Linked DNA regions of Arabidopsis thaliana. The protein of the gene in region 2 purifies or fractionates together with the protein of the main gene of each other region. This does not show direct contact. Each region holds a gene or a part of one and is shown on either strand. Other genes may lie near its edges.

Evidence for each region.
Region 1: the proteins of PDH-E1 ALPHA (region 2) and PDH-E1 BETA fractionate together in Arabidopsis thaliana (co-fractionation; one large-scale study listed by BioGRID). This does not show direct contact.
Region 3: the proteins of PDH-E1 ALPHA (region 2) and AT2G34590 fractionate together in Arabidopsis thaliana (co-fractionation; one large-scale study listed by BioGRID). This does not show direct contact.

The regions. Positions count from the first base shown.
Region 1 is NC_003070.9:10,577,407-10,588,452, reverse strand, and holds PDH-E1 BETA (pyruvate dehydrogenase E1 beta), read left to right. Parts: upstream 1-1,772; 5' UTR 1,773-1,975; coding exon 1,976-2,084; intron 2,085-2,205; coding exon 2,206-2,312; intron 2,313-2,391; coding exon 2,392-2,423; intron 2,424-3,130; coding exon 3,131-4,103; 3' UTR 4,104-4,348; downstream 4,349-11,046. Other genes in the region: AT1G30130 (DUF1365 family protein), read right to left, coding at 62-173, 489-787; NUDX25 (nudix hydrolase homolog 25), read right to left, coding at 4,632-4,854, 4,933-5,027, 5,115-5,207, 5,533-5,583, 5,688-5,753. UniProt on the Arabidopsis thaliana protein: The pyruvate dehydrogenase complex catalyzes the overall conversion of pyruvate to acetyl-CoA and CO(2).
Region 2 is NC_003070.9:43,798-54,071, forward strand, and holds PDH-E1 ALPHA (pyruvate dehydrogenase E1 alpha), read right to left. Parts: upstream 5,508-10,274; 5' UTR 5,370-5,507; coding exon 5,139-5,369; intron 5,056-5,138; coding exon 4,278-5,055; intron 4,186-4,277; coding exon 3,908-4,185; 3' UTR 3,437-3,907; downstream 1-3,436. Other genes in the region: AT1G01080 (RNA-binding (RRM/RBD/RNP motifs) family protein), read right to left, coding at 1,706-1,762, 1,849-2,157, 2,247-2,348, 2,576-2,992; AT1G01100 (60S acidic ribosomal protein family), read right to left, coding at 6,487-6,540, 6,622-6,834, 7,086-7,157; IQD18 (IQ-domain 18), read left to right, coding at 8,442-8,549, 8,637-8,933, 9,141-9,386, 9,687-9,827, 9,906-10,274. UniProt on the Arabidopsis thaliana protein: The pyruvate dehydrogenase complex catalyzes the overall conversion of pyruvate to acetyl-CoA and CO(2).
Region 3 is NC_003071.7:14,562,104-14,572,950, forward strand, and holds AT2G34590 (Transketolase family protein), read right to left. Parts: upstream 9,041-10,847; 5' UTR 8,742-9,040; coding exon 8,639-8,741; intron 8,546-8,638; coding exon 8,445-8,545; intron 8,367-8,444; coding exon 8,323-8,366; intron 7,900-8,322; coding exon 7,264-7,899; intron 7,190-7,263; coding exon 6,853-7,189; 3' UTR 6,699-6,852; downstream 1-6,698. Other genes in the region: CCP1 (P-loop containing nucleoside triphosphate hydrolases superfamily protein), read left to right, coding at 1-62, 147-369, 459-592; MEE21 (PIN domain-like family protein), read right to left, coding at 945-1,031, 1,118-1,204, 1,363-1,641, 1,746-1,866, 2,218-2,298, 2,388-2,578; AT2G34580 (cytomegalovirus UL139 protein), read right to left, coding at 4,570-4,629, 4,724-4,886, 4,978-5,165, 5,460-5,537; AT2G34585 (uncharacterized protein), read right to left, coding at 6,124-6,369. UniProt on the Arabidopsis thaliana protein: The pyruvate dehydrogenase complex catalyzes the overall conversion of pyruvate to acetyl-CoA and CO(2).

The DNA.
Region 1 (11,046 bases), about 11 Mb from region 2:
CATTACTATGAGAGACATAAGCAAGAAACAGAGGAACAACAAAAACCTCTGATTCATATACCTGAGCAATGCATTTACTTAAGCGCTTACTTGACCCTTCCAAGTCATAGCAATAGTATAAACTCAATGGGTTTTGTTCATATCCAACGCTTGGTGGTATTGTCAATAGAAATCTGCACCACGAAAAAATTACAGATTCATCAAAACTACTTCCTCTATCACAATTACAATTTCTGAACTGATAAAGATTCATTCACCTAACAATTTCATTACAAAAACAACCAAACTACACTGTTAGAGAGCAAAACATAACCATAAAACCAAACAGAAACTAAAAAAAACACTCAATTTTGCAAATCTAACTAACTCCTGATCAACAGAATCTTTCAAATCTTGTTTGTTCCTCAAAAACATTACGCATTATAAAGTTTCAGTTCTAGGTATCAAAATCCAGATTCTTCCGATCTTGGACGAGTCAACAAACTTACATTGGCCCGGTGGTACGAGAAACACGGCGAGCTTCGTCGGCGGAGAAATGATCCGGCGGTGTGTTAATAGCTTTGTCGAGGTCAAAGAGTGCGTAACGAACGGAATAACGGAAAGAGTGGCGGACAGGACGGAGACGGTCGTGCCAGACTGTGCCTTCGTAGAAAGAGACATTAGGATCGACGGCGGCGCGTGAAGGAAGGAGACGGTGGAGAAGGAAGCGAAACGGGAGGAGAAGAGAGAAGAAGATGGAAGTGATTGAAGTGTAGATGATTGAACAGAGGAGAAAGAGCAATTCCATATCTCTACCTCTGTCTCTCTATCTCTATCTGATCTTTTTCAAAAATCAGAGATTGACATTGATGACCCTTCAAATGCAGAGGTTTGGTATATTTATGATTTAATGCCACGTTTAACGATAAGTATTAATTTAACGAGTAATTTACTTTTATTATTTTTGAATCTAATAATGCCGTTTTAAAATGCTATAAGTTAGTATTAATTTAGAATTTGTCTCATAGAGGCCATTGTTATCTTCAGTGACAGTATATTATTGTGTTGTGTGGACCCAAAAGCCAAAAAGGATTGTTTTATTTAATGTTGCAACCAGTTATTATCATAGGGTATTTATCGTATAATCGTGGCTGTTGCGTGGACGTTACTAAACCACTGTATATAATATGTATTTGCATATGGATAAATAATTAAATCATCTCTCAAATTTATAAAAATTTGCATTATGAGAATTCACAGAACTAAAACTCGTAGAATGAAAACTGCATACTAGAAAATCAGATAATAATTTTTTTAAAAAAAAATCAGATAATAAAATAAATAACTGCATACATTTGATTGGTAAATTTTTTATAATCGCATTAAAATAATATTTTACCATATATGTGTTACAAATCAGAGTATAAAATATACAAAACAATATATTGGTAGAGACTAGAGAGACTCAATGTAAATGCTTTAGTTACGTTTATATTTCGCTTATGAAAATTTGTTCTTTGTGGAGAAAAAAAAAAGTTCTTTTTTGACGAAAATTTGCTTACTGGATAATACTGATCTATTAATTACTGGGCCAAGACACTTGAGGCCCATCAACTCCTAGATCGGTGGAAACCTCAAATCTCACAGTTAACGTAATTAGGTTGGTCCAGGTGGTTAAGCAAACCCAGTGATAATCCACAAATCATATACGTACACGTGCCAATCCAGTCGTTAAGTAACACGTGTTAAATTAACATTGGTTGTTATACAATAGAGAAGCCACATGAGTTCGATGAAAACAATGTAAACATGTGGATTTGATTGCACAACAACAATACACATAATTTAATTCGATTTCGACAATTTCATTTAATTCTTCGATTTCTCCGCTTGTCACTGTTTCGTATCGCCATTTTCTGTTTGCATACACTTGTATATATTTATATTAACAGTCCAAAATTCTTCGAAATTGTCCCGAGCTTTGAGCATATAAAAAATGTCTTCGATAATCCATGGAGCTGGAGCTGCTACGACGACGTTATCGACGTTTAATTCCGTCGATTCCAAGAAACTCTTCGTTGCTCCTTCTCGCACAAATCTTTCAGGTTCGAATTTTATTTGATGATCGATCTGCATTCTCTGATTTCGATTTCTGGTGTTTTGGAGCTTCTATTGAGATGGATTTGTGAGATCTTAAAGCAGTTTCGTTGTTTGATTTTGATGCAGTGAGGAGCCAGAGATATATAGTGGCTGGATCTGATGCGAGTAAGAAGAGCTTTGGTTCTGGACTTAGAGTTCGTCACTCTCAGAAATTGATTCCAAATGCTGTTGCGGTAATGTCTTTGTCTCCGATTTTGTGATTTTTATGGTTTCTCCTTCTAATCTCTAATGATGTACGTTTTTGTTTTGTAGACGAAGGAGGCGGATACGTCTGCGAGCACTGGGTTTGTTTTGCACCTTTTTAGCTTTGCAAATTCGATTTTGATTTTACTCTTTTGTGCTCATTGAAGGATTTAGACACTGCTTGAACAAATCTCTAATTGGATCTTTCATGTTCTGTTCTAAATGATTAGATTGTTTCAGTAGTTTTATTACATTTTAGTGGGGATTCAAAGTTGGATAACGATGAGGAAGTTTTTAACTATGTGCTATTGGGTGTGGTGATGTAGGATCCTAGCCAGTTCTAGAGTAGTCAAAACACTAATCTATAGTTGATAGTGATGGCAAAAGCTTAATGTGTTGCATGTCTGCTTCCAGTAATCATTCTAGTGATGCCTTTGGTTGTGCTTATGATGCCAAATGTTTAGGTTAAACCGTTAAACCATTTAGTTCATTCCCATGAACATAGTTTAACTCTCAAGAACATTTCTGGACATCATACGGCAATTGGTTAGGCTTCTGTTACATATTATGCGACTTTCCATTTAGTGAATGTTTCTGTTAGGGGTTTGTGTGTTGTCTTCATTTTCACATAAGCAATCCATGATGATGTCACCATGGCATTTTCTTTCATGTATTAGTCGTCACAAATAGCACATTTTCTTTATCTACCTTTAAACTTCCATGCTCATATTCAATATAAGTGTCATGATGATGCCTTTTTTTTGTCAAAAATACAAAGTGTGACCAATCTTCTCGTATGAATTTACAGACATGAACTATTGCTTTTCGAGGCTCTTCAGGAAGGTCTGGAAGAAGAGATGGACAGAGATCCACATGTATGTGTTATGGGTGAAGATGTTGGCCATTACGGAGGTTCCTACAAGGTAACCAAAGGCCTTGCTGATAAATTTGGTGACCTCAGGGTTCTCGACACTCCTATTTGTGAAAATGCATTCACCGGTATGGGCATTGGAGCTGCCATGACTGGTCTAAGACCCGTTATTGAAGGTATGAACATGGGTTTCCTCCTCCTCGCCTTCAACCAAATCTCCAACAACTGTGGAATGCTTCACTACACATCCGGTGGTCAGTTTACGATCCCGGTTGTCATCCGTGGACCTGGTGGAGTGGGACGCCAGCTTGGTGCTGAGCATTCACAGAGGTTAGAATCTTACTTTCAGTCCATCCCTGGGATCCAGATGGTTGCTTGCTCAACTCCTTACAACGCCAAAGGGTTGATGAAAGCCGCAATAAGAAGCGAGAACCCTGTGATTCTGTTCGAACACGTGCTGCTTTACAATCTCAAGGAGAAAATCCCGGATGAAGATTACGTCTGTAACCTTGAAGAAGCTGAGATGGTCAGACCTGGCGAGCACATTACCATCCTCACTTACTCGCGAATGAGGTACCATGTGATGCAGGCAGCAAAAACTCTGGTGAACAAAGGGTATGACCCCGAGGTTATCGACATCAGGTCACTGAAACCGTTCGACCTTCACACAATTGGAAACTCGGTGAAGAAAACACATCGGGTTTTGATCGTGGAGGAGTGTATGAGAACCGGTGGGATTGGGGCAAGTCTTACAGCTGCCATCAACGAGAACTTTCATGACTACTTAGATGCTCCGGTGATGTGTTTATCTTCTCAAGACGTTCCTACACCTTACGCTGGTACACTGGAGGAGTGGACCGTGGTTCAACCGGCTCAGATCGTGACCGCTGTCGAGCAGCTTTGCCAGTAAATTCATATTTATCCGATGAACCATTATTTATCATTTACCTCTCCATTTCCTTTCTCTGTAGCTTAGTTCTTAAAGAATTTGTCTAAGATGGTTTGTTTTTGTTAAAGTTTGTCTCCTTTGTTGTGTCTTTTAATATGGTTTGTAACTCAGAATGTTTGTTTGTTAATTTTATCTCCCACTTTCTTTTATTTAGACCCTTAGAATTTTCTTTACACTTTATATGTGTTCATGGTGCTAGTTACAATAAATTTTAACCTGAGAATTTTCTTTACACTTATTATAAACACATACACAACTCATTTCCTTCTGAATCCAGACAACGACTTTATTACAATGACCCCCATGTTAAAATAAAACAAAAAAACTTTCTACGTACCAATAACCAATTTACAAAAATGAAAGTAAAAAACCCCTAGAGAAAGCTTTTGCATTCCAAAAGGGTTCTACTAAAAAGAACCGCCCAAAAAAAGAAAAACAACAGTTAACAAAAAAAATAAAAAGACAAACATTGGTTCTTGGTATCTTATATCACCACTTGGCTGATTTACATTTAGCAGCTCTTCCTGTGTCGTTTAAGAACGAACCAAAAGTCTTGATGACTTCTTCATAGGTTGGCCTTTTGTAATCCACTGCTTGCTCTACCACTTCTTCTGGCTTCGCCCATTTCCACTCCGCAAACTCTGAATCCGCTTCGTTGTTCGCTAGATTGATCTCTTTCTCGTCCTCATCGTTCCTCAGTCTCACTAAATACCTGTAGGAATTATTAAGTTTCAGAACAATGAGCCACATTCTTTGCTTTCACGAAATTAAGTAGTATCGAAGGGCTTACCATTTCTGAGCTTGACCATGCCATTCACCGCCCCAAAGACGGTTAACTTTTGCTTTTACTGCTGGTGGAAAATCATATGTCAACCAATTTGGGACCTGTTTAGACATTAAAGAACCCACATTAGTAAATATATCCTCTGATTCATATCGGTTCGCGCAAGTGTTAACTTAAATGTTAGCGACCTCAGAGACGATTTCAGCTGAAACAACACCAGTTTCTTCTTGTAACTCTCTCATGGCTGCTGACTTTGGATCCTCCCCATCTTCAATGCCTCCCTGTAATATCCTCAGTTTAGTGAGCTATTCAAACTCAGAGATAAATGCAAAGCAGAGAAAACAGTCTCTAGACTCTTTGACTACTTCGAAAATGTTGATTACTTCACCAATCTAGAAAATATTCTCTATCAAATTCTTGACCATGTTTTCATTAGAGTGGTGTTAAACATTAGTAATTTGCTACGTTTTCTCTAAACAACAAAAGTTACAACACCATGAATATTTTGAATCATTGGCTTTTTGGCCAATAAAAGGACATAGAAACAGAGAAAAAAATATCGAAAACTCGCAAAACTTTATGTCATAGTGAGTGAATAAAACACACCTGTGGCATCTGCCATGCTCCTGGAACATTCAATCTAGAAGCTACAAATACCTGTGAATGATAATCATGGTCAATAAACTGAGTACTATTATTACCAGTGGCAAATTAAAAACAGTAATTAATCAAAGAGCTTAACTAAATGATGAAAATGTTACCAGATTATCCGAGTTGATTAGACAAACACCAACATTGGGACGATAACCAGGTGGTAGATTCTCCATTTTTCTGAAACAAATCACCACTTAACCATTATTTAACAGAAGAAAAAGATAATTACAAGAATTGTTTTGGTATCATTATTGTTGGTTTACTGTTTTTAAGTACTTTGCAAAACCAAAAATGTTTTTGTTTCTTCACTCTTTGGCTTATTTATAAGCAGATGATGTAGTTTTGACAGATTCTCCTAAAAAGCAAAACCTAACTACTCTATTGTCTGAATTTGGATCGAGGAAAACAAACTAGAAACTATCATGTTCAAGTTTCTATTCACTAATCAAAGACAGAAACATCCAGAAATGTTTGCAATTCCACTCTTAAGTCTACTTTCAAATCAAAAGAATAATTTTAACTAAATAAAAGAGTCAAGAATCATAATCAGAGTTGGTCAATTCCCAGTAATCAAAAGTCAAAACACAGAATTAGATAACAAACACATAGAAACAAATCAAGAACATACAGATCTGAGAAACAAAAACGAGAAAGCATCGAAAGAAGGAACAAACCTTATTTATTTGTTATCTTTGACTTTGCAAAAAGCAAGAAACAAAAGAAAAGTTTTTAACCCAACGAAGCAGCAACGAAGAACATGTGTGTGTGTGTGTGTTTTCTTTCAAACACAAAGCACACGTATAAATCTTTTACATTAATATATATACAGAATTGGATTCGGTCTAGAACGATGACGTTTCGTAATATCAGCTCTGACTATTTGGCATCTTATTCTAACTGTTTGTATTGGGCCGGGCCCACCGACGACTTATTTTAACATAAATCCAGTTGCCACGTGTATAATATAATGTCGAGACAAACATAAATTAAAAGGTATTTTTGGTTTTTGGTGTGTGATAATTAATAGACGCTTAATTACAGTTTTTTTTGTCAACGTTTTTTTTTTGTTTTTTTATACTTATATGACCTGGTTGTAATTTTCAAATTAGTTGACAAAATTTGTTTTAACTTCTAATGTAAAATTAGTTGACTTTGAGGAGGAATAATATTAGTTCCAAATTAGAAAAACATGTATTTGCTAAAAAGAAAAGTTGTATTTGACGGAGGAAAAAGTGTGATGTCATTGACACTTTGTGATAAGGACAACAACAAAAGAATACATTAAGCAAGTTGGCAAAAAAGAAGCAATCTCTAAAGAACAAGATTTAGAAAATTATAAGGTAATGATAAAAAAAAAAAGGATGACGGCGCACGTTAATGAGATGAGGTGGAAATTAAGTTAGCACCAAGGAATGTAGGCGCACGATAGAGGAGAAAAGGTAGGGGATGGAGTCAATGAGTGGACAGAGAGACGAACGTGCGGTGGTGGGGAAGCCAGGGAGTTGACTTAATAGTGAATTAATGATTATTTTATTTTTATGTTTGTCTTTTTTTTTGTCATTATTATTTACGACAAAAAATGTATTATTATAAATTTGTCTTTGCACTCAATCACGGATCATGAATAAATCTGCCACCATCTCTCTCTGTTTTTTTTTTTATTGATCAAATGGAACCAAATTGATCAATCATGTTTCAACTTTCCCTCTAGGTAACACTACCCTAATTTATCTTTAAAAAGTAAAACTAGTTCATTCTTCCTAGAATACTAGAATCATTGTTTGGAGACCAGCGACTGATTTTCGATCAGCGACTTCTCTTTGAAGACCACCACACTTGTTAGTTTCTACATAAATGAAAACATTCATCAATGAAAATTTACCATCTTCTAGAGTTTCAAGCTTTTCCGTTGGTTATTCCTACAAAGAAATATGTGGATAATCATGTTGAATCCAATTTTAAGTGCATATGAGTGCGTAAACTATCATTGATGCGAGAGAACTTCAAAAATGATCAAGAATCCACCACTTGTGGTAAAAGAGGATTGAAATGCAACATGCAGTTTAAAACTAGTTCCGCCAAAAGATCATCATTAACGAGAAAAATTTATACTTTAAACTTGATTTCTTCCACCACATCAATATATTAGATTTTGAATCAAAGAACACATAAGTATTTACTCAGCCTAAAAACCAGACAAATCCATAAGTCTATAGTTATCACTTTAAAATTTATGGTATAAAAAGTACTCCGAGTGGGGATACTAATCCAGATTAATTCCCAGAGCTATGGCCAATAATTTATAACTGTCCAATAATGGATGTTAGCCTTGCTAGGTTATTTTTAATCGCCATTAAAACGTTTTGGGCCCTAAAAGGCCCATTAAACACATGATATATTTGTCGTTGAGGGCATGTGCTCCCCAATACGTCTTTCAAAGTTTATGTTTTTGTTCTCCTGCCCGTTTTTTGGCATGATTTGGTACTCTAGGCCATATCATATGTGACCCAACTCGTTCAGTTTTTGTTCTTTTATTGATATGAAATATTCAACAATAATCCAACTAATGAAATAAAATAAAACTATTGGTAATTATTTTCAAAAATTAAATGATTAAGTGGGAAATAAACTTTTATAAAATATCATGCGAGAGGCTTCTAAAATAATGTATTAGTCATTATGATATGTAGTATATCTAGGTACTAGCGATTGGTTCGCATTATGTACCTCAACTAGATTTTAACCCGCGGTACACCGCGGGGACAATTTATCTTTTTAAAGTTAGTATAATTTTTTTTTTGCAAATTGTATCTATCTATAATATATTTTTATTTTATAGTTTACAATTGTTATTAAGTAACGTCCTGCCAAACCCGTCCCGCCAAACCCGTCCCGTAAAAAAACCATTTATTTATATTAATGTTGATCTTATTTATGATATGCTTATAAATCATTGTCTATATATTTTTGTCGATGCGGGACGTTGAACCCACACATTTTTTGCCAATTGGTTAATATATGTTCATTTTTAAAATTTTGAATCATAAAATATGACGGAAAAAATTAAAAAAATTTTAAACTCTATATATTATATAATGATGTTAAAAATTGTGATATATCAAAAATTTTATAAGTTTAAATATTAGTAATGTTTTATAAATTTTAAATATATAAATAATAATATTTAAAAAATTAATATGTTTGCTTATAAGGCAAAAAACTTTATTTTAAAATATTGTTAACAAATATGTTTATGCTAATTTAAGGGATTGATTTGAAGTTTGTTGGGATTAAATTTGATTGATAATGTGATTGACAATTTAAATAAAAAATTTAAAGTAAAATTAATTATTTTGGAAAAAAAATTTAATGCTAATGGCATTAGATCGTAAATAAGTCCAAGACCAGGATTTATTTGCTAAAATGGCTGCAAAAATGTATATATAGATTAAAATTGCATCGAGAACTAATTTCCCACATTTTAGACATTCTCTAGAGCGTGGTGATATGTATTTTCTTATATATTTTCAGATTTTTAATTGAATTTAAAATTTTTTAGATATACTCTGCATAATACATTTTCTTAAACCATGGAAATTTTAGGATTTTTTGATCCATAATTTTTTAGTATCCGAAGCGAACCTTTATTCTATTCATATTTAAAGACTGTCACTCTGTCACAAAGAAAAATAACCCTTGTAATCTCACTAGGCAATTACGATTACTTTGTGTAGAGTAAGTTGCTTTTATGTTTTTGGTATATGTGAAAATAAGGTTATTTATGGTTTTCTAGGCCAAAATTTGAAGAATTTTATCTCTGATCAACAGGGGAAAGAACTTTGAGCTTTGTCATTGGCTTTGGAAAAGAAAACATTTGTACGTCCGCAGTTTTGTTTCGTTCGTTTGATTCTCCAACAAAACGAGTTGTTCCCTTTTGTTTTTATTCATGGTCGTTATTCGTTCGCTCTTATGTAACATTTGAAGTTTGAACTGCTATATTATATCTCTCGAAAAATGATTCCAACTTTTGACTCAAGCTAGACTAAAGTCACAAACATATCACCAAATTTGAGTTTACATTCATGTCGACATACCTTTTTTTTCTTTAATAACGTATATACCATCTAAATTTAATAGGATCCCTTTGTTTTATAGTAAATACCATTTAGCATTTTTACTCATAAATTACAAAAATATTGTTTTGACATTTCAGTAATGCTTTTGAGCAATATTTGAGTCGTATATCTGTTATTTCACTTATAATTAGAAAAATCAAATTATGTAGTGTATTAATAAGAAATGTAGTAAAATTTCTAATAATGTTTTGGTATTATCTATGGAAAACCTTATTAGAACAATAATCATAGCAAAATGGTAAGACTATAAAACTTTTTTTGTATATAGAGAAAAGTGAAGAATAAGTTTGAAGGAAATGGGGAACAGACGTGAGACCAGGGGGGAGATGGTTAATAGAGAATATGCTCTGAGTCTGAGACCTCACATTTAATTTCCTGCCACGAGAACGCATCCCATGCGCCACATATATAACTAAATCTTCTATTTTTTAAAACTCAATTTTTAATCATTAATTTATTTTGAATTTTCTGTTCGATTTATAAAATTATACTATAATAGTAAGGGTGTTTATATATTAGTATGATCTCAAAACGTACACGTAGTACTGGTGCTTATATGAAACCCTAGCTTGCAATTAAAAATACATAAATGTGTGTCTCTTCTTCGTTCATAGAAGACAGTGAGAGCTTCATAGCCCGACCTTTACGCAAGGGCCAAACCGCAAAATCTTTCGTATCTTAATTTGTATTATTTGTTGTCATATTTCTGACATATCGTTTTACAAACAAGTGAGTATTCTATGTCAACAACGTATGTCTAGATGTTTGTCGACCTAAACTTTTGTTGGGGTAATCATTTATCATGCGCAGAATTTCAAAACTAATCGAAATTTCCACTCGTAAAAAAAAAAAAACCATAAGTAAATTGAAAAGAAATACTTTTTAACTTTGATCTAATATATACATTTAGAGCACAACCATTTTTGCGAAATCGTTTTATAGTGTATAAATTGATAACTAATGTAATGGAATAATACTTAAATCTTTCTTTCAACGAGTTTATATTTTGGAGTTCGAATCTAAGAACGTAAACTCAAACACGTGAACTAATGGTGCCCAATATTTCTAAAATTCCTAATTTATAGTATAGTATATAAAAGAGACTATACTAGAATTATGCTAATCTGTTGTTTGATAAAATATTTAATCATATGACGAACATATGATGGTTATTTCAAAATACAATGTTAGTTACATTGGATGTTTGAATCAATAATAAACTGCATTATTAGCTTTTGTTTTATTCGTTATTTTTTTCTGAAATATTTTAAAATTGTTGTCGTGTTGATCCAGGAGAAACTCAAGTTCCCAGGATATTGGAAGTCTAGAT
Region 2 (10,274 bases):
GTAGGGAAAGAGATAATTACTGTTTAGTTTATTCTAATTTACTAGAGGAAAAAGGATTTAGGGAGAAAAGGTAAATTAAATATTCATATTCTTCTTAGATAGATCAACCACTGACAATAATAACAAAGAAGCCACTAATAAATATGCACGATGACTATTTTCTAAATCAAACGTCATATTTGATTCAGATTCGAGAAATGACTGGGAAAAAGAAAACACTTTTGAACAAGATAGACTAATCATAATCAGGTGAGATTTGTGACTTTCACAAAATAATTCTCCATCTTAATTGTTCGCATCTTCATTGGATCCCTTTTACACTTTTTTTTTTTTTCTTTCATTGGATCCATCTAGTTTGCACTACTTATATATGTGGTATATATAAACTTTAATTTTGAAAGTGTAATAAATTTAGAGTGATATCATTTAGCCCCCCGATGGAGGATTGAATTGTCTCGAACTAATGCGTAATGCAACACTATGGTTTTGAATAGTGAAATAGGAAGATGCGAATAAAAAATAGAAACGTATAAACGAAAACAATAGTGTATGTAATTAGGTGAAACCGTGAAAGTGGCGAACGAATCATTAGCATATAAGAAGAAGATTGTGTCCACCCTGAGTTAGATACGAATACTTTATGTGTGAAATCTAATTGTTCACGATTTGACTCTTCAGAGTTTAAAGGCTGGCTAACAAGTTTAAGCTGCGTTTTAGGGTTTGGGCCAATAAATTCAGCAATGAACCGGTTTTAATGGCATTAATAGCCCATAGTGAATGTTGCAATCAAGAAATAGTTATAAAACCATGTACATGGGTGATATTTTTAGATTATCACAAGTACAAAAATTATTTTTATATTAGTAAAGCAATTAGAATATGCTTATCAGTATCAGCCCACTGATATTTGTGATACCAGTATCATCTGACGTGGCTTCTTCTGATTGGTTACATTTGACAAAAGCAAAAAATATTATATATATTTATTAAACAAACATTATAAATAATACTAAAAAATATTCTTGATGATATTTTGTGAGTATCACCTATGAACATGCTCTAAAGATCAATATCTTAAAACAAATTTAGTGATATAATTAATTGAAAAAGTTTGTATTTTCTGGACTGAATCACACTAGGGTTTGTGTGATTTCTGGTGTAAGAAGGTAAAAGGAGGTAGTTATCAGATGGGCCCACTTGAAATCATTTCACTGGGCCTAAACAAATATAAAGCCCATTTATCATTTATGGCCTTTTTCAGTCTCCTCCCGAGATTTAAAACCCTAGTTGGTTGATCTTCTCCAACGGGGAATGGAATCGGAGAGTGACGAAAGTCGTGTGTGGATCCTAAATCCTTATTCGGGTCTCCGAATCGGATCCTCGGAGTTAAGCCTTACAAAATGAAGATGCTAATGGTTCTGTTTTCTTTATTTGGAACCTGAGTATTGCATGCACACCAAGTGTTTGGCAAAATGTTAGAGTGAGACGACAGTTGGGGAGGTTTGACGATTATCTTTCATTTGTAGAGTAGATGAATCGAAGAAGAAGATCGAAAAGAGAATTATACAGGTAGATATAATGGGTGATAAACAAAATCGAGAAGGATATAATATGTAAAGGTTACTTGTCGAAGAAATCAGAAGACATTCATTACACATTGTTTGTGTCCAAGAGATGTCTTTGCAGCAAAAGCAGAACAGTTGGTTTACGACTCACTCTTCTCGATACCTTCTCTGACGATGATTCTGCGACCTTCATATTGCTGCAAAAGAGAGATTGTGATAAAGCCAGAGAGCAGTAGAAGAAGTTTCCTCAAGCAAGATTCTTTTTATGGATAACGAACTTAACTGTTCCATTGAATGATAAAGCCGCATCACGTTCTTCACCGCTTGTAAAAGAAAGAAAGGCAAAGACTCTGTTTCTCCCGGTCTTACGATCATGTAACACTCTCGTGCTTACGATTGTGCCAAACTTGCTAAAGTGGTTTCTCAAACCATCAGGCTGTGTGAACCAAGGGAGATTTCCGACATAGACCTTGTGTTGGCTTTCGTACATCAGAATCTTCTTTGGAGTTGAGTTCAAGACTTCAGGGTTTCTTCTTGTTCCTGGATTCATGTCAACAGAGTACCTAACCCGCATTTCCCGACCACCTACTTCCTTCATATATAGCAACAAAACCAAAGCACTCAACTTTACACTCAACCAGAAGAAAGATAGACTTGTTTTTTGGTTTCCCGGGCTCTTACTGTTCCATCAAGAGAAGCAATGGCGATTTTGGCAGAGTTTATAGAACCCATTGTCACGTACCCGCTTCCACGGCTCTCTCCCGTCTGAGGATTTCGCGATACCTGCAACATCATTTCCAAGCAATGCACACCTCTCACTATACTTGTCAATCATCCATATACTCAAAAGAGTAACCAGTACGTTTGATTCGTCTTGATGGAACTCAAAGCTAAGTATTTTCAAATTACATTGTGGATGATCTTTGAATTTTCAAAGCTAAGTTGAAAGAGTAAAACTTTGAATTTTCATAAAGGCATTGTAGGATCAATCAAATCTGGATAAGAAGTACCACCTCTACAGAGATTACAGTTCCAAAAGGCTGAAACATGTCAAGAAGCTGAGCAATGTCGTAGCTTCTAGGGATATTACACACGTAGAGCTCGCAAGGTCTCGGTTTCTTTACTGGTTCTGCTTTGGAGACGACACTATCTTTATTGGGTTCTGCTTCTCCTTTAACTACTTCTTCTTCTTTTTCTTCATCGAGAACTGATAATTCTGAAGAAGAGACCTTGATTTGAAGTGGTTGAGCTACAAAGGGACGAGAAAGAGAAGAGTGATGAAAAGAATTGGAAGAAGAGAATTGAAGTTTCAGAGATTCTAAGTAAGAGTAAGAAGAAGAAGAGATTAGGGTTTTGTATTTGGGAATTGCATTGTGAGACGATCGAGAAGAAGAAGATAAGGGAATTGCGAAGCAGGAGGCCGCCATTATCGAAGGACCAGAAAGTAAATTATTTGAGAAGAATGATTAAAAAAAAAAGAAATGAAATAGAAATTAATAGAACAAATCGGGTCGGGTCATTTAACCCGTTACAATCCTGCTCGGTATTCGCTACGTCAGATGAGACACTCTCTTTCGCGTAGCAGGTTTTGTTTTTCATGAAATAAACAAAAGGCCCAAAGTTATAAATCAAAAAATAAAAAATTATTCAAACATTTTCATTTCTTCAAGTCTCTTATTCCCTTTACCAAACACTTTAATTACAAAGAAAGTAGGAGCCATGAAATTAGAACCAGTGCAATCTTGTCTAATGGCCCATTCATCCTCAATCTTCATTCTGACCACTACATCTACAACTCCTTGGCTCTGAGGGAAGGTGGTAGTGATAGAATCTGCTATGTTTGAACTCCCTCAGAGGTTTGAAGCTATATTTTGACCCAAATGATCGTTATGCAAACCACAACACTGTCTTCTTTGATCTTACTATGAAGAAGTCTGCAAATCTTGAGGTTTAAAGCTATATTATAAGCAAGCTATGCAGAGATGAAGCAAAGAGGAAAAGAGTTTTCTGTGCTGTGGAAGCTGTATTGGCATGTATTGTTCTTATACGAGATTGTGTGTAATTGGTGGTACTGGCTCCTGTTGCAGAGCCCATCTTGTTTAGAGTGTAATCACCCGAGGTTGCAAAATAATTATCTTTAAAAAAAAAAATACAATTCTCTGGTAAGTGGTAACCAATGAAAACCCAACGAACTACAAGAAGAACCTTGTGATAGTTTAGTAACACCAAACAAAAAGCAAAAAGTGCAAATGATTCAAACTGATTCTCTGTAGCATTTAACTTAATAAGATATATAGAAACATCGAAGAGACAGTAGACAGCTTATGGTTAAACTTGTCTTCTCAGACTTGAGCTGTGCCTTCGGTAAACTTGGGGTCCTCACATCTGTACCGTCCATCAGGTCCAATTCCAAATCCTTTTGGATCAGCAAACACATTCTCTAGCAACTGACTGCGACCGGGCTGTGGACTAGCGTCTGCAAACTCAACCGCTTCCTCCACCAACTCGTCTATCTTTTTCTCTATTGACTTTAGCTCTGCTTCCTTTGCAAGCTTGTTCTCTATCAAATACTTCTTCAATGCTGCGATTGGGTCTCTAGCCGCGTATTTGGCTTTCTCAGCTGCAAAAAAAAATTCAAATTAAAGAGAAGGTTGTTTCAACCCTTAGATAATCAGTACAAGCATCAAGAAGCAGAAGGAAGTCGATATTTACCAGCATCACGGAGCTCATCGGGATCAGCCAAGGAGTGTCCTCTGAATCTATAAGTCTCACATTCAACCAAGGTTGGACCTTCTCCTCTTCTAGCTCTAGTGACAGCTTCTTTAGCGACTTCCCTGACCTTCAAGACATCCATACCGTCAACATGAACACCAGGCATCCCAAATGCAGGACCTTTCTTCCAAATCTCGGGGTCAGAAGTGGCTCTCAAGTGAGACATCCCAATGGCCCACAAGTTATTCTCGACAACAAAGATAATAGGCAGTTTATAGAGAGCAGCCATGTTGAGACACTCGAAGAACTGTCCGTTGTTACAAGTTCCATCTCCGAAAAAGGCGACAGTGACATCATCACAATCCTGTTTCAAGACTTCCCTCCTGTACTTGGAGCTAAAGGCAGCACCAGTGGCGACAGGAATGCCTTCACCAATAAAAGCAAAGCCACCAAGCATGTTGTGTTCTTTGGAGAACATGTGCATGGATCCACCTTGGCCTCTGCAGCATCCAGTAACCTTGCCGAAGAGCTCGCTCATAACAGCACGAGCAGAGACACCTTTGCTGAGGGCATGGACATGGTCACGGTAGGTACTAACGACAGAGTCAGACTTGGTAAGGAGCTTGATAAAGCCAGTAGAAACAGCCTCTTGGCCATTGTACAAGTGAACAAAACCAAACATCTTGCCTCGGTAATACATTTGAGCACACATGTCTTCGAAAGATCTACCTAGTATCATATCTTCATACAACTCCAATCCTTCCTCTTTGGTTATCAACTATTTCAAATTACTTAAATCAATACAACAAATCTCACAACTTGTAAAATTCCAAAAGAAGGAGACGAGGAGAGGAAGCGTACCAGGCTGGTATTATTGGTGGATTGCTTCTCCTTGACAACTTCCTGGACAGAGACGACGGGAGATCGACGGGTGGCGTTGGAGTGATTGAGTCTGCGAAGGGAGAGGGAACGGGTGGATCCGAGGAAAGAAGAAGGAGGAGCCAATCGGATCGGGAGCAAGAGACGATTCTCATGGGATCCATGCAGAGGAACCGTGGCAGTGAGCTTAGTGGGAGCGAAAGCCGTCGCCATTGCTATCAATGGAAACCCCAATGAGATTAACGGAATTCGGAAAAAAAAAAAAAAAACTTTCTGGGAAAATAAAAGAGAGCAGAGATGGGCGGAGAGAACAAGAGATGAGAGGCAGAGGAGGCAGACGATCCCGGCTCTAAATACTTATATATATTTTTATTTGTTTGTTCGAAAAATATTTAATCAATTTTGGACCCACCCTTCTTCGTTAACACCAATGTTTTTTTCTTTCTTTTCATTTCATCTCTTAATTTCAAGATCCGATCTACAAATATAATCCTTGTTAAGTATGCTCAACATAATTTATTTTCTTCTTTAACTCGAATTGGTTAATCAATAGTGGAATCATCAAATTAACAAAATGATCTGAACAAATTCAGGTGAATAACCATAAAATTCTAACCATTTAGAAATATGGCTTTTCAATTGAGTTTTAAGAATAGATCCGTTTTCTTTAAGATTTGTATATAATCCCATAAATCTTTTGTTATCAGGTAGAGCTATAGATGCAACTACTTTTGACTCTAAAAGAAAGAAAATTGAATTTAAAACCTAATTCCTACCGTTACTACTAAATTATTATGAAACATATTTAATCCTCTAAACAACATTTTTTGGTTTTCCTATTTCTCTTACGAAAAATCCCATTACTTTTTTATCGTATTTATCCTTATCTCAATTTCATCAAATGGAATGTATGACAATAGACGTACAAATGTTATGAAGACGCTGCTGGGTAAGAAGAAGAACAAACACTAACATGTTCCGATAATAAAGGCATTGGGCCGGCCTAACATTACTGCAAAAGCCAATTTTATTAAAGACCTATATTTGATGACAATTCTAAATATTGTATGACCGGATTTAACATTTATGGTTTGACGTTTTCGAAATTAAAGACCTATATTTGATGAACGAAGACTTGGTAGAAAATAAACAAAATCAATTCTAACAAAAGCCCGAGCCGATTGGTTTGCTAGGAAACTTGAGTTATACAACATACGCATCATAAACCAACTAATAGTCCTTTAGCCAGATCAAACAAGTAATAATAACTCATACGACAAAATATAGTCTCCAATATCCAACTACAAAGAAGAAAGACAAGTGACTGCGTTTAGTCAAACAAACCGAAACCCAAATCTCCGTCACTCTCTTCTGCTGGCTCATCCTGCAATACCAAAATGAGATCAATTTTATATCACTTATTAGTTAGAAGAATGATTTCGTCTATCGTTGCTATTTCATTTACCTTCTTCTTCTCCTCAGCAGCAGGAGCAGCTGCCGCACCACCGCCAGCAGCTGGAGCAGCAGCTGCAACCGGAGCACCACCTCCACCACCAGCACCAACGTTCATGATGAGATCAGTCACGTTACGTTTCTCAGCCATCTTGGCGAATAGCATTGGCCAGTATGACTCAATACTAACACCAGCAGCTTTCACCAAGGTCGCGATTTTGTCAGCCTATCAACGACATAAACAAACACAAGTAAAGATCTTTACCCAATTCAAAACACATTTAGACAGATACATAAAATACTTGTTCAATTCCTGACCAAATAATACTATACCAAATCCTTATCACTCCATAAGAATCATTTTCACTAAGTTTCTAACTATCAAGTCAAAAGAAACGGTTCCAAAACCCTACTGACTAAAGCAAAGAGACCAATCAAGATTTAGAAATAGACAAGCAGGAGTCAAAGGAAAGATACCGTGATAGCGATACCCTCGTCCTCGAGGATCATAACAGCGTAGCTGCAAGCAAGCTCTCCAACTGTCGACATTTTTTTATCCTGAAACGATTCAAAAACAGTAACAATAGATTAATTGCTTATTCACAAAAAAACAAACTTTAAATCCGTTTTAAACCAAAATTAGAGTAAGTCGAACAACCCAGACGATGATGAAATGCCAATAACAAGTATAAACGGATCAAATGGAGAATCATAGACTACCTAAGAGTAAGATCGAAAATGCTTTTCGCAAGGCGGCGAGAGAGACAAAATTTCTAGGGTTTGGATGCGGAGACGGGAGATGCAGAGTTTATAAAGCTTTTATCCAATTATTTGATGGGCCGCATAAATATTCGCTAGGCCCATTTTTTAATTTTACATATATTTGTTTTCAGTATTGGGCCTTCAAACCTAATAGCCGTGAATAAATAAAAGATAAGAGCCCAAATTAAGAGATTTGACTTTGACCAGAAATTGTTGGTTGGTTTCTAGGGAACGACCACCGTGGTCCATCATGCATGTGACAGCACGAGCTTGGTCAAGCAATACTTGATGGATGTCCTTTTCGCACTAGTAACATAATTCTTCATTTGACATATTTATAGTCTTCAATAAACATATCATATGCGATCCAATATATTTTCATTTTTTCTTGTACATTCGTCTTGGTCCAAAAATCACGAGTTTGATTAGTTCTTTAACCCCAAACTTCACAAAATCATGTAGTTGTAGACACCAAGTTTGATTATATTTGTCAATTAATAAAAAAAATGATTTATACAATTTGTTTAGAATCTCGATAAATACTTGTTCATCCTACTACCATTCCAACCAACTTTATATAATAGTAGTAAAAATTACGCATGCGCTAAGCCAAATATTGGCATTTAGTAGAATAACAGAAAAAAAATAAATAAAAATGTAGATTATGGAGCTAAAACAACGTGCAATCTCTCTCCTTATCTAGTCTACGTATATTGTCCCGCACGGTATATAATCAATATGGACCCAAAAACGAATATATTCATGTTAATATCGATGCCAACAAAATAAATTAATAATACTATGTATTTGGTGAAAAGATAAAATTTATTAAAGAGAAAGAAACACAGTTATTGGTGTCGTGGTTGCAGTAAAAGAGGTGGTCAGACTCAGAGCAACTTCTTACAAAGCAACCAAAGGTTATCTGTACTTTCTGTTTCTCTCTCACTCCTTATTTCTGAAAAAAAAATCTACAGCTAAATACCTAAATCTCAACTTCACGGAACACCGATACATAAAGACAATAGAGTGGTAATAATTTGTTGAGACCAAAAGTAATTAAACACATTACACATGGGGAAAAAGAACGGCTCTTCTTCTTGGCTCACCGCTGTAAAGCGAGCTTTCCGATCTCCGACGAAGAAAGATCATAGTAATGACGTCGAAGAAGATGAAGAAAAGGTTTCTTATTCTTAGATCTTATTATTTGCTTACTATATTCAAAGTATGATTATTGGTTTTCATTTTTCTCTGTTTTTTTAAAAAAAGAAGAGAGAGAAGAGACGGTGGTTTAGAAAACCGGCGACTCAAGAATCTCCGGTGAAGTCTTCCGGTATCTCTCCACCAGCACCTCAGGAAGATTCACTTAACGTAAACTCAAAACCCTCTCCGGAGACAGCACCGAGTTACGCAACTACGACGCCGCCATCCAACGCCGGTAAACCCCCGTCCGCCGTAGTCCCCATCGCCACGTCAGCATCTAAGACACTCGCACCGAGGCGGATTTATTACGCAAGAGAAAATTACGCTGCTGTTGTCATCCAGACTTCTTTCAGAGGATATTTGGTGAGCAATTATTAATGACCTATATTTTTACTTTCATTTTTTTAACCAACTTGACTTCTAGACCACTTTTTAGTGACAATGATGTGTGTCTATGTCTATAAAATTAACATTGCTTATACAAGATCTACCATTTAAAAGATTGGGATTTCATTTAGATAATTTTTTTTTGGGTCTTGATATAAGTTTTGTTCTTTCTAATTTGGTAAGGCAAGAAGAGCATTAAGAGCATTAAAAGGGTTAGTGAAGCTACAAGCATTGGTGAGGGGACATAATGTGAGAAAGCAAGCTAAAATGACATTAAGGTGTATGCAAGCTCTGGTTCGAGTCCAGTCTCGTGTGCTTGACCAACGCAAACGCTTGTCTCATGACGGTAGTCGCAAATCCGCGTTCAGTGACTCTCACGCTGTTTTTGAATCTCGCTATCTTCAAGATTTGTCAGATCGACAATCCATGGTTAGTATAGCCTCCTAGGCCTTGCCTAAACTATAGCATAATCAATTGATATGTTTTTTAGTTATAGACATGTTTTGCTTTTTAGTTTATTCATAAGGTTAAGCTGTTTTTAGCATGCCTATCTAGTTCAAATGGTGCATTCACATAGGTGTGCCTTGATTATTTCTTTACTCTTAGGTATACATATTTTGTATATTTTTCAATCTTTAAGCAATTCTGTTTTTGTTAATTGTAAATTGCGTTTGTAATTTCATATGGTGGCTAACGTCTTTTGGAATTATGGTTATTTATTTGTTGTAGTCAAGAGAAGGAAGCAGCGCCGCGGAAGATTGGGATGACCGACCACACACGATAGACGCAGTGAAAGTGATGCTACAACGGAGACGGGACACAGCATTGAGACATGACAAGACTAATTTGTCACAAGCTTTCTCTCAAAAGGTAAAATTAATTAAACCGGCATATAGTCTGTTATATATATTGAGCTTGTTGATAACATCGTTTCGTTTCAATGGAAAGATGTGGAGGACGGTTGGTAACCAATCCACGGAAGGACACCACGAGGTAGAACTTGAAGAGGAAAGGCCAAAATGGCTTGACCGGTGGATGGCTACTAGACCGTGGGATAAACGAGCTAGTAGTAGAGCTTCGGTTGACCAAAGGGTTTCAGTTAAAACCGTTGAAATCGACACTTCTCAGCCTTACTCAAGAACAGGAGCAGGAAGCCCGAGTCGTGGCCAAAGACCTAGTTCCCCATCAAGAACTAGCCACCATTACCAATCCCGCAATAATTTCTCAGCCACTCCATCTCCGGCTAAGTCTAGACCAATACTTATTCGGTCAGCTAGTCCACGGTGCCAGAGAGACCCGAGGGAAGACCGTGACCGA
Region 3 (10,847 bases), on a different chromosome or scaffold from region 2:
TAGCAGCAACAAATCTCCCCTGGGAACTAGATGCAGCTATGCTCCGGCGTCTAGAGAAACGAGTATCCTTTTACTTACTCTCATAGAACAAAAATGCTTGTATCATGATTTTCTTTTGTTTAGGCCTCAACTAGTGAAACCATTAGATTCTTGTACCTTTACCGGATCCAGAAGCAAGAAGAGGAATGTTCGAGATGCTTATACCGTCACAACCAGGTGATGAGCCATTGCCTCATGATGTGTTGGTTGAGAAATCTGAGGGCTACTCTGGTTCAGACATTCGAATACTTTGTAAGGAAGCTGCGATGCAACCACTGAGACGCACATTGGCTATTTTGGAAGACAGAGAAGATGTTGTGCCTGAAGACGGTAATATCTCTTTTAAAAAGAATCCGTCATTGGCATAGTTTACCTTTTAAAACTGCAGAATCTTTGACATTATTAGTTTTGTCTTGCAGAGCTGCCAAAAATTGGTCCCATCCTGCCAGAAGACATTGATCGAGCTCTGAGCAACACTCGACCATCGGCTCATCTGCACGCCCATCTTTACGACAAGTTCAATGATGATTATGGTAGCCAAATTCTCAAGTAAATTCGATGTAATATATACATCTATGCCATCTAGAACTTGCTCATTATTTGTATGGAAGCATCCAAATTACGGATGCTCAATGAACTTTTCTGTCTTAAATTATGAATAAATGCTCCTAGTTCCTTGGGACTCAGTTTCAGCGTATGATATCTTTGGGGAATGTTTTTTTCAAGTTGGCTTCTTGGTCTCTGTTAAATTTGGGAGTCTCTGTTACACGGGTCGTCTTTGCTTGAAATAAAATGAGAGTATAACAGCAATGAGACTCAAGCTCTAGTCTGATTGGTGACCAAAATTTTTGTATGCAGTAGAAAAAGTAAGGACTCAAGATGTGTTATATATAAAACAACTGTTTTCACTCGGTTCTCTCCGGACCAGACTTTCCTTTTTTTGACCGTTTTCTTGACCTCTTTTGTGTATCGCTCCCGCCTTCTTTCTTTTCCTGGAAACCCAAAACAAATATCGAATTTGTGTCAACACTGGAACATTTTACTTGTAAACATAATGGAGCCATGTCTCTAATGTTACCTTTTGTGCATTAGAGTTAGAATCGGCTTTGGATTTGGATTGAGGATTCTCCTTCTTTTTCTTCATGCATGAAAGTGGGTTTGGACCCTGCAGAGTTTTGAGACAACAATGTTAGTTTCTCCTCCATTGCTACTTCATCTAAGACTAAAAACCAATGGATTCTAACAATGATACTACGATTAATTTCCCTACCTAGAAGCTACTAATTAAATACGACTAACGTTGTAAAGAGAGCTGTTCATTACCTTGGCTCTATTTCGCTTGAACTGAGGTCTATCCTTCACACCAAGTCCATTTTTTGTAGAAACTACTCGAGGCATTCCCCATTCTTCATTTGCAATTGTTGCTTCTTTTCTATTAGAAGCTATGATTTTCGCAGTCCGTTTCACCAACAACTTTTTTTCCGTATCGGTCATAGTTAAGCGCTTATTTTCAGAGTCTTTGGCACTCTGACGTTGGAAATCAGAAGGTTGATCAATCAGCAGTATGTTCCTTAGACCAAACACAAGAGGAACTATAGACTCCTGAAAGAGGAAACAACACACATAGATTCTTTGTATTAAAAACTCTAAAACCCACACAGTAAATCCATACTCTGATACAAAAGAACTCTGCTCATCAAACTAACCTGCTGAAGCTTTCTCCTAAACTCCGCGTCCTGAGTACCAAGGAAGAAATGCTCAGTATTTTGTACCCCTATTACCTCTGACAAACACTCGTCTGCTGTTTTTGCCTCCTCGTGCTCACATCTAAAAACTCAAATCGAAGCAAATCAATCACACAAACATCAAACAAAATTCATGTCTGGCACATAACAAAAACCTCACTTTCTACACATTAACCTCATTATATCAGTTACACAAATCAATTTCATCATATACACTATATAAAATCCAGCTTGGAACTTAAAAACCCTCACTTTCTACACATTAAGCTCATCATATCAGTTACACAAACCTCATTTTCTGTACATTAAGCTCATCGTAGATGTAATACAATTACAAACTCAACTCCAAACCTTATGAATCAAATTCGAAATTTCCACAATCTACTAATCAATCACACATTCAAGTAAGATAATAAGAAAAAGGGAAGCTTACGTTGCTGTATTAAGCGTCTGGGCAGCTTCGAGAGATTCCGCAAAATCTTTACCCAGTTTCTCCAACTCCGCAATCACACATCTACATAACAGCTCCAACGAAAGCATAATAAGAAATTTGGTAAATTGATATGAGCTCGTGAATGTGAAGATGCAATAAGAGATATAAACCTGGTGGTGAAGAGCTTGACGGGACCTCCGAGGAGTTCAGAGACAGCAGTGTCGGCGGGAGTGATCTCATTAGTGACAAGATGGTGGACGAAAGTGCCGTCGCAAAGGACTTTGTAGGGTTGACGGAATCCGTAACAGACCGTGAAGAATCTCACGGTTCTCCTGTTTTTCTTCTGCCTCTTCACTCTCATCTTCTTCTCCTTCTAGTCTCTACTCTGCGATTTTTCTCAGAGCGCGAAGACGACGCTGGAATTAGGGTTTTAGTTTTTTTTCTTGTTCGGTGGAGATAAACCGCCGATTAACTTATTAATTTGGAAATTTCGGTTTTTATTGGTTTGCTTGGTTCGTTTTGGTGATATTACCATCGTCATCAAAAAACAAATAATTGGCAAACTTACTAACCTATGTTTTCGATTTTTGTCCTAAATTTTGAATTGTTTGTAAGGTAACAATTTCAACTGAATTATATTAATATTTTGCAAAAATGTTGGAGGCTAATAGGATTCTGCTCTCGACCTCCAACTTGAACAGTTAGCGAGAGAATCAAACAACTTGTTTTTTTTTTTTTTATCAAACAACTTGTTAGTTGTCATGAGTCCAGTACTCTTCATCTTGCATTGTAGTCTGTTTATCATTTGAAATTCCTTTAGGAAAAACCACAAAGGCTGTTCACCAAACACAAACTAGAAAAAAAGTATGTTTATCTTTGCAGACCTTGAACACTTTTTCTTTCTCTTTATGATCACCCACAGTGCTCCAATGACAAGTTAACATTGACTAGACTAATGTGAGAAGAGTGTAAGCTGGAGACAAAATGGAAAACATGTTTTCAAAGTACAGTTTGCCAATGAGTTATTTCTTTTATTTGGTATGTAGATCCAGAATCTAACAAGTAATCAGTTATTTGTTCCTATCAAACCCTGCAATTGCGCTAGATCTAAAGAAGAAGCTAACAAATTTGTTGTCATGTCATCATGACATGTCTTGAACTCTAGGCAGGCTTGGTACATCTGTCTTGAATTCTTTTCATGAGCTCATGTCTCTTCTTACATGTTTTTATTTGTTGATTTTGCTATCTCTACTATGTATTTGCATAGTATTGTATTGCTTTCGTTTTGGTTCTATATATATAGAAGTAACATGTAACAATAACATTGCAAATTTTTAATGTTTAACAAAATCATTGAAAGATCAAGAATAGAGGTACAATATCATTAAATAAGTGAAAACTTAATTATTAAGCAGCGGTATAAAGATAAAAATTTTGCCGAGTCTCATTATCGATCTGCTATGCCTTTAGGTTACTAATCTAAAATCATTGAAAGAAAAAGAAACAAACCAAAACAAATAACTAAAAGTTGATCACGCAGACGCAGAAGACGTAGAGGTAGACGTAGACGCAGTAGCAGTAGCAGGCGAATCTTCCTCTCCGCCACAACATTTGAGTAATCGTTTGGCGCAATAGAAACACGCCACAAAAGCCGAGATGAGGATGAGACCAACAAACACGATGGTTAAAATGTAACCAATATTCATCATATTGCTCTTCGAATTCACTACACCAAAAAATTTCTTCTTTTTAACTTTGTTTCGTGACTTCTTCTTCTCCGGTATAGATTATGCTTATATACACGTCCTGTCAAACACACAAATGACAAGTTTAACATTTGTGAAAAATACATATTTACCTTTTTCACTAAGGAACATTGGAAGTTTAACATTTTACGGTACTTTCTTGATCATCATGCCATCAAATATGTACATGTGTATTTAGTGAATCAAATCTATTAAACTATTTTTAACATTTTATTCCAAAACCGTAATATATAGGGCATCTTGCTTACATATGTGTTTCCTTTTTTAACAATTTTTTTTTTGTGAGATCCTTTTTTATTACAAATATTTATTGTCACAACTCACAATGATTATTACATTGTTTCTTTCTGTAATTTATCTATTATTTTAGTTAATTTCTTTTTCATAATATATCTAAAGGCTGCAATTGGCTAGTGATGTAAAATGTCTTGAATACTGTATCCATTTTAATCTCTTTTTTTATAAAGATAATATCATTTAGTAATCTCATAAAAGCCTTCCCTATGTAATTCCCACAGGCCACAACCGTGCTCAATATACTTTTACATCTCTCTTCAAATGATGATTAGGAATTCAGAATCATACCTTAATTTATGTTCTGTAGATAAATGTTCTTCTGATGACTTTCCTCGAACGTTGAGTTAAGCTGAGAAACACAAAGATTGATAATACATAACTAAAGCATACAATGCTACAAATCACTACTTAATCCAAAACCACACACTTGACTGTGATTTTACCTCCTTGATTCGGTTTCGCAGGTTCTCGATTTGTAACCGGTTCTCTGATCTAAACCTCTCAACATTTTGCATAAACTCATTCATCTCTGAACATTTCACCTTGTAATACTTCTCCCTCTCTTCATCTAACTCTTTCAGCTCCTCAACCTCAATCTTCAGTGTCCTATTCTCCAATACCATTCAACAGAAACCAATCAAAAACATTATTATGACATCACAACCATCATCAAACCAAGAGTCAAGAATGATTTAACCTCAATTGTTGTATATAGCTGTGGTATTTGGAGTCGAGATCATCGATGTTAGATCTGAGAATTGTGATCTTCAGGTTTTGTGCTGCTATTTTCTGTTCTAGCATCAAACATCTGCGTTCAATGGATTGTATAGTTGCGTGCTTCGATGCTAAAATCTGTGCTTTGTTCACTTGTAGTTCTTTCTCCGCCTACTCAAACATTATAATCAAACAGAACCAGAAAACGATCAACAATTTGGATTCAGAAATTTCAAATTGAAAAATACTGTTATAGTGATGATCGATAAATTGATGCAGAATATGATAATGATCTGTTTTTAGATAATTCTCTTGATTTCGAATTGAATTAGAGCAATAGTTCATCAAACCAGAGATCTCGATTAGCACATGGATATAGCGATTCTCACATTTACATACTAGCGACATTGAAACTCGATGATGCAGTGGAACGAAGAGAAGCTAGGATTCTAAATTGATCGATACCTGGAGAAGATTGAGTCGTTGGTTTCTGGTGAACTCCATTTGATCGAGCCTCTCCTTGAAAGCTGAAGAAAGCGCCATAGCTAGAGAGAGAGAATTTGAATTTTCAACTCTGGGAGATTGGAATAACTGAATAAGCAGAGTCAACTCAACTATTATAGGCACCGTTATTTAAGGCCCATAACATTTAGAGTCAAATACTACTAAGCCCATTAAGTCGATTTTACAGTTTCCAAGTTCTTCGTCACTGAACTGATTTGTAGTTTTTGAGTTCTTTGTCGATTAAACAAAAACTCAGCGTCCAAAGTTACTTGGCTACTACTACAACAAATAACCATCTGAAACTTAAAACTTCAAATACCTAAATTTGATACGGAGTAGATTATGTATGTTTGAGTCATAGATAAGCAAAATTTGAAGGCATGGTTGATGTGTAAACAAGAAGGAAGCTATTTCGTGCTGATCAAAGAAGAGATACACAATTCGTCCCCAAAAACAAGAACCTTACTCATATGGCTAAATCTCGTCTTGTTTCTTAATTATAACTTTGCAATAAGAACAAAAACACAAGCTTTCAATAAAACGACCACAAATCAACCACAAATCAACTGAAATTGGCAAACTTTTACAAAAGGATAGCAAATCAACAAACAAAACTCAAGATCGATCAGACGGACTTGATCGCGGTGGTGGGATCAGGATCGGAATTATCGGGAGGATGATTAGGGATGAGAGGAGCACGAACATCGGAAGATGAGTCGACGTCTTGGTCATCAGGATCGTAATCGGGATTGAGAGATCTGTCGATGGCTTCACGGCCCGACTCCAGGCAAGGCTTACAAGCTAACTCTATCGTTATCCATCCCAAGATTATTCCGGCTATTGCTATCACCGCGCTTGTTATCGCCGCCATTGAGATCTCTCTTTCTCTCTTTCTCAGATGCCTCCGACTCTGTATTCACGCATTTGCTTGACTCTTCACCACAATTATGGAGGAGATTGAGAAAATGTCAATTATGCCCCACTGTTCTTTTGAGTATATTCTTTTTTCGTCGGCACGAATTATGACAATTTTGTTACCTAATGATTAGTATTTTTATTGATTTATGTTCTTCTGATGTAAAATGAGTAAGTGGTGAAACCGCTATTACGATTTGTTATTATCAACTAATAATGTTCCAGAAGGTTTTTGGTTTTGTACAATGTTGTAATACGATCATTTTCTGAAGAAAAAAAGTAGTGTATGTGAATATGGAAGTTATTATCTATAGAAAATATAAATGTTCATATCATAAGAGTAAAATTCAGAGTTTTCATTTCACAAGCATTTTCCATCGAAGACAAACAGTAACAAAAAGTAAAAAAGGGTAAAACACAATCACCGTAAAAAAAGCAATTACTGGCAAAGTTGTTCGACGGCAGTGACGATCTGAGCTGGCTGAACAACCGTCCATTCTTCCAATGTACCGGCGTAAGGAGTTGGGACATCCTGAGAAGACAAACACATCACCGGAGCATCTAAGTAATCATGAAAGTTCTCGTTTATTGCAGCCGTCAAACTGGCTCCGATTCCTCCCGTTCTCATACATTCCTCCACAATCAAAACCCGGTGTGTCTTCTTCACCGAGTTTCCAATTGTGTAGAGATCAAACGGCTTCAACGACCTTATGTCGATAACCTCTGGATCATACCCTTTGTTCACCAGCGTCTTTGCAGCCTGCATTACATGGTACCTGATACAAGTACTCTATTAGTTCTGTGTTGTTTCAATTTCAATGAAGAAGAGCTTTTGGTTGTGATTTAGTACCTCATCCTTGAATACGTCAGTATCGTGATGTGTTCACCGGGTCTGACCATTTCTGCTTCTTCCAGATTACATATGTATTCTTCATCCGGAATACTCTCCTTGAGGTTATAGAGCAGAACGTGTTCAAACAGAATCACAGGATTCTCACTTCTTATCGCCGCTTTCATCAATCCTTTAGCGTTGTAAGGTGTTGAGCAAGCCACCATCTGGATCCCAGGGATTGACTGGAAGTAAGACTCGAGACGCTGGGAATGCTCGGCTCCGAGCTGCCGGCCCACACCTCCAGGCCCACGGATAACAACCGGGATAGTGAATTGACCACCGGATGTATAGTGAAGCATACCACAGTTGTTGGAGATTTGGTTGAAGGCTAAGAGTAGAAACCCCATGTTCATACCTTCGATGACGGGTCTTAGTCCTGTCATGGCGGCTCCAATGCCCATACCGGTGAAGGCGTTTTCACAGATTGGAGTGTCCAGAACCCTGAGATCGCCAAACTTATCAGCTAGGCCTTTAGTTACTTTGTATGAGCCTCCGTAATGGCCTACATCTTCACCCATGACACATACATGTGGATCTCTGTCCATCTCTTCTTCTAGACCTTCTTGAAGAGCCTCGAAAAGTAATAGCTCATGTCTGCACAAGTTAAATTTAGTTATGCTTATGCTGTGGCAAAAGGCATAAACCTTACATGGAAGTAGGTTTTATATCTCACAGAACATACAGAGATAAGAGCAAGAAATGTGCTACTTGGAACAATGGATGCATAAGTGAAAATGCATACGCTTGAATTTGTAGGCTTTGAGGATGTAGATACAAATTATACGTAACCTCACATGAACTACTACTAATAAAACACAAGATTCAATCAAGCAGAAGCAGTATCATAGATCTAATGCACTATAGATGAGCAATGCCAATCACAATTAACTACCAAACTAGAGAGAACTTTTTCTTCCAATTAACAGCCATGATAATGATCAAGAGTTCAAAATTAGTAAAATCGATGCATGAAACCATTAGCATAAGAAGTTAAGTAACAAAGGATGCAGAACATACCCAGGCTTTGATGAAGTAGAGCTCGCAGCAGTGTCCGCCTTCGTCTACAGAAATCGAAAGCCCCATCAAAGATCCATTGTAAATTCTTAATACGATATCAAAAACTAAGATTAAACAAATACCGTAACAGCATTTGGTATCAACGGCTCAGAGCGACGAGCTACGAGGCTAGAACCAAAGCTTTTACTATCAGATCCGGCAACAATGTATCTCTTGCTCCTCACTACATCAAAAACCCCATAAAAACTCCTAAGATCTTACCAAATCAAGCAATTTAATCGCCGAAACAGATCATTCCACAAATTTGAAATCGAACCTGAAAGAGAAGAGCGAGAAGGAGCAACGAGTTTGTTGGAATCGATAGAATTAAACGGCGAGAGAGCCGTTGCAGCTCCAGCTCCTTGGAGTATCGCAGACATTTTTCCGAGAAAACCAAAGAGAGAATCAAAAATCCTGACAAGAGTGTATTATTATTATGTATGCATATAAACAAAAATGTCTGCGATAGAACAGAGAAGAAGAGTGGAGAAGAGCGGAGAAATCGAAGGAAAAGCGTGATTTCGTATAACTTAAGGATTTTGATAAATCCGGTTTGTTCCGGTACGGTGAACCTAATCTGCGTATTTTTGGATTTGGTAGCTCACCTGAACCAACTAAATTGCAGTTAACTTTATCGTCTGTTTAAGATTACTAGACATGATCAAGAGCCCAAAACTGCTCGGCCCAATTAGTAATACTGTAAAGGCTTTATTATGCTCATTATTCTTTCTTTTCTTTTTCTTTTTTGCTCATAATTCTATTACCAAATTATATATTCCAAAAAATGTTTTTTCCAATACAAAATTTTGTTTGTTACCTTTATTTTTTAATGAAAGGGTTTCATTAGGTACCTTTGGTGAAAAACAAATTAAATTCAAAGACGTTCGGTTTTTAAGATAGCACCAATTGCATGTGCTCATTAGTCATTTCAATTCCATACTTTTGAGATCATATAAAGAAATGATTCTCTTTTGAAAACCAAACATTGAATATTGGCATTTCCCACGTGGATTTAACCTTCTATGTCGGTATGTCATATGTGGGCAAACCCAAATCTGAAGTGGCCGAATCATGTTAACTATATAAACTACTCATCAAGTGAAACACGTGGTTGATAAAACAAAAATCAACTAAATCACGCGACGACCATTATTTTATCAAATGTATATTGTGACCAAACAAAGTGACGTTGTTTTTCATGATATCCCCCACTTTACATTTTTTTTTACAAATTACAATAAAATACTCCAAGTAAAAAATAAGAAATGAAACATCCGTTTTTGGGGTGAATACAAGTTTAACAGAGCTATAACTCAGAAAGATTTTTATCATAAGAGCTGCTTATAAACTATAAGTGTTGTTTTTTTAGAATTAAGTATGGTTTTGAAATTTGAATGTAACTTTTAATCATAAAATTTATACTCTACCCATCTATGTATACATTTTTACAGTCATTTTAACAAATAAATCCTAGAGTTGGACTTATTTACAATTCAATGTCATTAGCATTAAATCTTTGTTCCAAAATAATTAATTTTACTTTAAATTTTTAATTTAAATTGTCAATCACATTATCAATCAAATTTAATTCAAACAAACTTCACATCAATCCCTTAAAATTAGCACAAACGTATTTTATTAACAATATTTTAAAACAAAATTTTTTGTTTAAATAAATATTGTTCTTACTAAACGTTTTTTGTTTAAATAAACAAATCATGTATTTCAACTTATTTACAATGTCATGCTACTGACATTAATTATTTAGGAATGAAAATATTTATTTAAAAATTTAAATCTTCTAAATTTTTGCTTTTAGAGTTAATATATCATTATCTAAAAGGTAAAAAATATTATTTTTTAAATAATATTATTCGTATATTTAAACTTCATAAAACATTATTAATATTTGAATTTATAAAAAGTTTAATCTATCAAAAATAATTAATATCATTATTTAATATATAGAGTTTAAAAAAATCTCAAAAACAAATTCGTCATATTTTGTGATTCGAAATTTTAAGAATGAACATATATTAACCAATTGGCGAAAAATGTGTGGGTTCAACGTCCCGCAACGACTAAAATATTTTAACAATGATTCATAAACATATTATAAATAAGATCAACATTAATAAAATAAATAGTTTTTTTTTGTGGACGGGTTTGGCAGGACGTTACTTAGTAACAATGATAAACTATAAAATAATTTATAAATTTTTATATATATTAATTTTAAAAAATGAATTGTCTCCGCGGTACACCGCGGATTAAAATCTAGTAGTTAACATTTTTTTAGTTCGCTTGAAACGTATTAAGATGGCAATAATACCAAAATAAATGGAATCCAATTTTTGAAAATTTCACAAACAGGTTTATCGTTTATGATAAATCTATGTTATCTGATGAGGCACGAGTCCAGTATTTTATCTAATAACCCCAAAAGAATTATAGGATGAATTCTTTAAAAATGTTATTTTATTTTT